Neurospora crassa OR74A: one gene and its partner. The protein of the gene in region 2 interacts with the protein of the main gene of each other region in a biochemical or structural test. Links are inferred from orthologs where the notes say so. Each region holds a gene or a part of one and is shown on either strand. Other genes may lie near its edges.

What was found.
Region 1: the proteins of NCU04636 (region 2) and NCU02007 form a complex in vitro, tested with the Saccharomyces cerevisiae proteins (3 studies listed by BioGRID). The link is inferred for Neurospora crassa OR74A from reciprocal best matches to the Saccharomyces cerevisiae genes NFS1 and ISD11.

The regions. Positions count from the first base shown.
Region 1 is NC_026501.1:1,696,269-1,699,555, reverse strand, and holds NCU02007 (iron-sulfur cluster biosynthesis protein Isd11), read right to left. Parts: upstream 1,773-3,287; 5' UTR 1,567-1,772; coding exon 1,516-1,566; intron 1,417-1,515; coding exon 1,252-1,416; intron 1,189-1,251; coding exon 1,126-1,188; intron 1,069-1,125; coding exon 1,025-1,068; intron 962-1,024; coding exon 952-961; 3' UTR 694-951; downstream 1-693. Other genes in the region: NCU02008 (hypothetical protein), read right to left, coding at 2,374-2,618, 2,952-3,114.
Region 2 is NC_026505.1:1,377,233-1,381,720, reverse strand, and holds NCU04636 (cysteine desulfurase), read right to left. Parts: upstream 2,985-4,488; 5' UTR 2,774-2,984; coding exon 2,503-2,773; intron 2,431-2,502; coding exon 1,607-2,430; intron 1,419-1,606; coding exon 996-1,418; 3' UTR 634-995; downstream 1-633. Other genes in the region: NCU04637 (BAR adaptor protein RVS167), read left to right, coding at 4,098-4,133, 4,292-4,488. UniProt on the Saccharomyces cerevisiae protein: Catalyzes the removal of elemental sulfur from cysteine to produce alanine. It supplies the inorganic sulfur for iron-sulfur (Fe-S) clusters. Plays a role in both tRNA-processing and mitochondrial metabolism.

The DNA of each region.
Region 1 (3,287 bases), on a different chromosome or scaffold from region 2:
CCGCAGAACAGATGGTCGAATATGTCTCGGTCTAATCTTGAATAGAGGTGGAGCAACGTCGGTGGGTGAGTGCAGGTCAGCGGTCCAGGGACTGCTTCTAAGTGCTGCTTGTTCTGCCGCTGTACTGTGTTGGAACCTGAATAGAAGGATGGATGATGATGAACAATAACGATGGATCGGCTGAAAGCGACTAGATGCCGGACTACGTAACGATATGGTGCAAACTATAGGTAGGTAGGTATGTGATAGAGAAAGAGAAGAGTAAGGGGAACCCGTACTGATGCAGAGGTAGCTTCCACAAGAAATCGATCCTATGCCGCCAGCTAAGAATGTTGTCAATGGAAGGATGGAAGTCGACAAGGTGCGGGATGTTGCGCGTCGCATTCAAGTCGCGGCGGCCAACCTGACACTCTCCGACAGCCTTCGATTGACTGCAGTGGCTCGTCCTGCAGTGGTCAGTCAGTGGTCGCGCGCACTGGTCGCACTGACCATGCCAATGGGACATGAATTCTCGGTAAAGCAATTTACCTTCTTAAGGCAGCCCCCACTGCCAAACCGATCTCGGATATGCAAGGAACGAGTCGATCTAGTTGCGACAAGGATTCGCAGGTTCTGACGGTGATCCGGAAAGCCGGTTATCATGGCACGACACAACCAAGACATAATCTATACCCAAGGGACCGTTCATAATTGTGCCGAATCACTGGAATTTGATATGGTAACTGATTTAAGTTAATTATCCTCTGCTATCAGAGAAGCCCCGTCGACCACCACCTTTGGACTTGTTGGCCTGCTAAATCAAAGCTGGTATTGGTATCCCGTCATCATTCCTGCAACCTCGAACAGGTGTACTCTTCGCCAACCCTTCACTCATAGTATTAAACATAGCCTTTTCTTCCCGTGTCATTCGTGCAAAGCGACTACTAAACAGGGATTTTCGTCTGCAGCCATTTAGTCCCAGCTGAGGTTCAGTTCGTTAGCAAGACAGCTCTTCTCAAATCTGCTTCTCAAGATTATAACTTACCCAGTATCCTTCTGCCTGAGCTTACCTCCTTCTTTGTCCTTACCCTGCGACTTGTTAGATCACCTCTGATCTACTCCACGGAACGGTTCAGGAAGACTTACCGAGAGCCCGCCCTCAACGACCAAGCGGTCCTGTTGGTAAAACTGGCTAATGACTGTTTGGCGCTATTCCAATGTCAACTTCTCTGTATTCTCCAAGTCGCGTCTCAGCTCGAGTGCCCGGCATACCTTGAGCATCTGAAGATTCTGTAACCCTTTCTGCACAAGTTCCTGCACCTGTCTAGGATCCTCCACGTTCTTGTTTTCCCTGAAAGCGTCTCTTGTGCGGCGCTTGGCGTATTCTCTGAAGTTGTAAGAGGAAAACTGATTTCCCTGGCGCAAAAGCTGACGATACTGTTGGTTCAAAGCAACGATGTTAGCGTTTGCGTTGTTCTAGCCCAAATACCGTTTACGATCCAGGGAAAGAAGTGCGCAGAAAGGCATGCTACATACCAGCGACAGAACTTTGCCGGCTGACTCGCCAGTCCTTGCGACGGTAGACATATCGATCAACTTCCTTTCCCGTTTCCCTCTTTTGGCCTCTGTGCTGCTTGGTGCGTACGATTTGGTATGCTCGTGCCTCGTGGAGAAACTCGTGAGTGTGGTAGGAAAAAGGTGCTGTAGAAGTCAAGGCGCCGGCGAATATGGCTCGTCGATCAGTCGTGATGATGCGTTTGCCTTCGTCAGCGTACGGCGAAAGCTCGGACGTCCGCATTTCAGATGTGGTTCGGCGACCTTGGCGCGAGTACTGGGTGGGTGGCTCGGATATGTACATACACTATGCGTAAGCATGACCGAGATCTACGGGTACTCAGCATCTTGATAAATGTATTCATTCATGTCTGTGGCATATGATGGCTTACAACGTCCTCTTCCTTCCTCTCGCCCGTTCAGTCACTTCTCGTTCACTAACCCTTCCGCTTCCGGACCTTTGTCCATCACTGCCATTTCCCAATTCATGGTTCCCGTTACAATTTTTATAATGACTGTTCGGCCCCGAGTCTTGCGCCACTGCATATTCGAATTGTTCTTTCCGGTTTCAAATGCCTCCTTGCACTCAATCAAATAGCCACAGCAAGAAGCATACTGAACACGCCGAGCACAATGCCTCTTTTTCTCAATCAAAGCACCCCGAATAAACTCAGTTCCAAGTGTTTCCATCGTGTCACCAAAAAAAAAAAAAAATGGAAGAAAAAAAATAAAAAATTCTACAGCTTCGTCACGGGCTCTCATAACCGAGCAGTCGAGCAACCAGCATCGGACTGTTCATCTTCGGTTATCCTCACAACCGCTCAGCTATCTCTCGGAGCCCTAGAGATCGGAAAGGATACGGGCGTTGAGTTCTTTCATCAAGACGAAGTTCTCAGGATTCAGCGAATGACCGGAGGCCCTTATATAAGGAGAGCCCTCCTGTACGCTGACCGGCAAAGGCATAGCCGGATCGCTTGCCTGAGCCAGTTGTCTTCTGGAGGCACCCTGCCCACCGCGAGGGATGCCCGACCAGATACAGCTTGATTTGATACTCAAGGACGCGCGCACCGGGAAGAATCCAAGATCTTAGTTGACGGGTGTTGAATGGTTAGTTTTCGAACATTATCACGTCATGCCGTGGGAAATTCACTGCTTCTGACATCAAATACACTTTATAAAGTTCATGCAAGATCGGCCATCAAATCGCGGCAAGGAGACACGGCTTTTCCGGCATATCGCGTGTCAAACCTGACGTCTTCGTGAGGCTGGAGTCCTTGGGGATCACAAGATGAACCGCATATCGGGCAGGTTGGGCTCTGCTTCAACCAGATGGGCTGCCTGATGGAAGACAACCACCAAGAAGCCTGCATGACGGCCTCGCGGTGGTCGGGGTTTAAGCAAAGCTTCTAATGGTCTACCTCCATGGTTTCCACCAGAGAAATGGCTTGATACGGCTGGGTCGCTGTACCAAAGGAATATCGACATCGGGAACTGGAAGGGTTGACATGACTGATGATGCAACCCCGGACTCCATCTTGGGTCTCGCTTTAGCTGAGCCTGCCATCGAGATCCAAAGGTCATGTTCTGGTCTCCGCGTTAACCAGCAAAACAACTTCAACCAGGATGCCTCAAACAGTCGGAGCAAGCCCAGAAAGCCCAGAAACGTGTTGAACAACTTGTCGTAACTGTATTCATACACCTTCTCGCAGCATTACAGCTCTGAATACCCTCCGTTTTGCCTGGTTGCGGGTCAG
Region 2 (4,488 bases):
TGAAAATTCAGGGTCCTACCGAAATCTTGGCCTGGGGTTGGAGGCAATGACGGACTGGAGAGGCCTGAAAATGGCCATGTGAGCCTTGTGTCAGTTCATCACTTCCGAAATGTCTAACCCGCTTTTTGCTCTAATTGGTCCAGTCATGGTCTTTCTTGTTTGTTCCAGTTCGTAGCTTCCAGCAACTTACTAGTCATTGCATGTGGCAGCAATGTCCATTGGATGGCCTTACCATAGTGTGTGCCTGTGAAGATGTCGTTTGTAGTCTCACAAAGCACACCAGAGACTATGATGTCATAGGCGAGAGGCTGCCAATAGGGGTTCGTTCGTCAGTTCATCCCACCATCTCAAACGAAACTGTGACATCATAAGTCGTCGCAGCCACCAACGAGCCGAGCTAAGCCCCTCAACACCAAGGCGGTTTTCAGGTGGAACCCTTGACCCTTAGTTCTGAGAACGTACACTACTATGTACACACTCACTCATTGTCTGGCCTTCGACCTCGGTAACTGGCCACATTGTATACGCACGCCCTTTGTAGAGTTCTTCAGCAGAACCATCGGGTTGGGGGGTTCAGAACAGTCACAAAATGGACACGATCTACACACAGCCAAAGTCAAATGGAAAAAAAGACGTTTATCAGCCACAGTGCTGGGGAATTATGTGTATCCATTATATGAATGATGAATTGTTCTTCTGACACCTCCGAGCGCCGCCTCCCAGCCCTATGGTATCATTCTCTTGCTCATCAAAACAAAGGTCATCCGCAAATATCGCTTACATACATGATAGTATACAATGGGTCATGTTTTGCCCCTTGCTTCCGTCCTTGCGGGAGCCTCGGCAATTCGTAAAGTTGGCCGTATAAACAACCCGAGCGGCCTGTAGTGTTTGTGAAAAGGCAGCGCAGCGGGAGAAATAAAAATGCAATAGAAACTCCGCCCAGTTTATAAACCGTGTTAAAATACCGCACATCAACCACATCATGTCACCTCTCAGTGCTGACTCCACTGGATCGTGTTCAGGTCGATACCCTCCTGGACGAGCTCCCACAGAGGAGAAAGCTCACGGAGGAAGCCCACACGCTCCGTTACGGCCTTGAGCACGTAGTCGATCTCCTGCTCGGTAGTGAACCGGCCGATACCGAAACGGATACTGGAGTGGGCGCTCTCATCACTGTTACCCAAAGCACGGAGAACATAACTAGGCTCCAGAGAAGCCGAAGTGCAAGCACTGCCAGAAGAAAGTGCAATATCCTTCAAGGCCATCAAGAGGGACTCACCCTCGACATAGGCGAAAGAAACGTTCACGCAGCCGGGGTAGAAGTGGTTGGGATCACCGTTCTGGCTGGTGTGCTCCATGGAGAGCAGACCGTTGAGAAGACGGTCGGAAAGGTGCTTGATGCGCTTGGAGTCGTACTGTTGTAACAGTTAGCGCCCATCCTTGAACGAGAGATGCATTAAATGTGGGATATGGAAGAATCATGATCAGAGAAGTTGCTGTCTATCAACAAGGAGTCCTTGTCACGGGACTTCAGAAAGCCATGCATGTGTAAAGCGACTCATCATAAAAGGGGCAAAGGAAGACAAAAGAGACTGTAACATACCGGCATTTCTTCCTTGGCGATGCGGCACGCCTCTCCGAAGCCGACAACGAGCGGAGGAGCGAGCGTGCCGCTGCGAAGACCTCTCTCCTGACCACCACCGCTGATAATGGGGTCCAGTCTGACTCTTGGCCGACGACGGACGTAGCATGCACCAATGCCCTTGGGGCCGTAAATCTTGTGGGAGGAGATGGACATCAAGTCAATGTTCATGGCGTTAACGTCAACGGGGATCTTGCCAACAGCCTGGGCAGCGTCGGTGTGGAAGAAGATCTTCTTGGACCGGCAAAGCTTGCCGATTTCCTCGAGGGGTTGGATGACACCAATTTCGTTGTTGACAGCCATGATACTGACGATGGCGGTGTCGGGACGGATGGCAGCCTCCAGCTCCGCCATGTCGATCAGGCCGCTGCTCTTCACTGGGAGATAGGTCACTTCGAAACCCTCGTCCTGGAGATGCCTGCAGCTGTCGAGGACACACTTGTGTTCTGTCTGGCTGGTGATGATGTGCTTCTTCTTGCCGGACCGGCCAAAGAACCTAGCGACGCCCTTGATACTCATGTTGTTGCTTTCGGTGGCACCGCTGGTGAAGATGATTTCCTTGGGGTCAGCGCCAATCAGATCAGCAATGTGTTTCCTCGCCTCTTCAACGGCCTTGTCAGTCTCCCAGCCGTAGGCATGTGTCCTCGAGTGGGGGTTGCCATAGACGTTGGTGAAGTAGGGCATCATGGCATCGAGCACTCTGGGGTCGATGGGGGTTGTGGCCTGCATATCCAGGTAGATGGGACGCTGTCCCTCATCCATCACGGTAGCATTGCTGAGAACATCTAGTTGAGTCAGCAACGAGGACGACTGCGCAATATGTCTCCGAAGAGGTGGGAGGTGATGATGATGCTTACCAGCCATGGGGCTGACGTGTTGGCTCGAGCCATTTTGCGCGCTTATAGTGAGGCCCTGCTTCTCCATCTCCCTGTGATCCAGCTTGATAGCATGCTCGGCCTGCACGTCGGCGTTGTTCCTCTTGGTCTCGGTCACATAGCTCCTGGAAGCAGAAGCAGTCTTGACAGCAGCCGCAGTAGTCGCCCGCGACAGCACACGCGCGCTGCGGAGAGGAGCGGCCGCGGCCAAGCGCGATGCCTGTCGCAAGACGGACGGCGCAATGGTGGACATGGTAAAAGGAAGAAGAAAGAAGGAGAGGAAAAGAGAATATGGTGGTGAGGGTGATGGCGGATGAGGGAGAAAAAGTTCGTTTTGTAACCAAACCTACAAAAACGGATGGAGGCAGCGGGCGGGGCGGCTCAAAACACACTCAGAAATTCAGATGGAGCTGCCGCCTCCCGCTCTTCGGCGGTCGGAGTGGAATTTCCGCCATACAGAAAAGAACAAATCGAAACAAACGGCATCCGCACGCGGACTTGGCCTCGGAGGGGTCGGTGATAAAGGAATGTGCCAATGAGGGGCGACAACCAACAAGGTTTGGCACTTTGATTGGTCATTCTGCCATCGGATGGCCCCACCTGTTTCTTTCTCGGACATCGGACAAGCGCGTATGTACGTACGGCGAAAATGACGCTGCTCCAAAATGTTAGAGAATGGGCCGCCGGGCATGACGGAAACTGAACGCTCGATGTGCACCGCGGCGACTGACTTGACAAATACAGTGCGGAATGTCCACTTGTGAAACGGACTCCGCGGACGCATCTGATCCATCATTGCACAGAAAGGAAGAGCACTGACCCGGGGCAGGCATCCATCTGTTCTCTCAATCGGCATGTCCACTGGGATGAAAGCTACACTACAGCGGGCCCCAGACCCAGTCGGTCTACCCCGTCGTTCCAATTCGTTCCTTTCCGGGGTCTCATCGACCAAAAGCAGAACAACCGATGACGGTACCTATTTACCTCCTCGGTAGTATTCTGTTTCCATTCGCATTGGATGTCTGCGTTGGACTATAACTTGAACCATCAGTGACATGCCATATAACCGCCGACAACCTACTTGAATTCCATTTACACTGCTAAACTATTTAGTAGCATCTTACCTCTAGGACAGCTACCTCTAGCTACTTTACCTCCTACCGTTGAAGACCGAATCCTCCCCGAGGAAGTTTGTCGGACCTCGAACGGAACTGCTGACAAGGGTCCGACCGACGGGATTCAAGAACAAACCGAAATCACAAGACGCCTAGACAAAAAGACTTTTCACACTACATCTTGGAACGAGGTCGCTGTGTGCGGCGTGTCCAACATTCAGCAAATAGCAGCGCCACGCAAACCGTCGCAAGCTTCGCTCAGCCAAGACTTCGTCCACCAGCCAAACGACCTGCACCGCCCCCCTGCCCACCCCCAGCGTCATCACCATCGTATCCGGATCCGACTTGAAGAGGGCACTCGACCACCGATTGCCTTCAACCTCTCCGAACAGCAACCCGCTTTGCGCATCTCCATACAAACACCGAATACACATCAGACATCATACGGCTTCGTAGCAGAATATGAGCTTCAGGGGCTTCCAAAAAAGCGTGGTCCGCGTAGGTTCTGCCCCGCATACCTAGTTGATCTCACCTCCCCTAGTTTCGGTTACAGCGTCATCATCACTTCCGCCCTTCCCGTCGAGTCCCCCGTCTGTGGCAGAAATAGCGCCGAATCACTCGGGTTGGCAAACAGGCACTAACACGACAGAAACCAGGCACCACAACAATTCAAGCAAAAGTTTAACCTCGGCGAGCATACCAAAGACCCTGTCTACATCGACTCGGAGCGCAGATTCCAGGAGCTCGAAACCGAGACCAAACGCCTTCACGATGAAAGCAAAAAGTACTTTGAGGCCATCAATGGCATGCTGCAACACCAAATCGAGTTCTCAAAGGCAATGACCGAAATCTA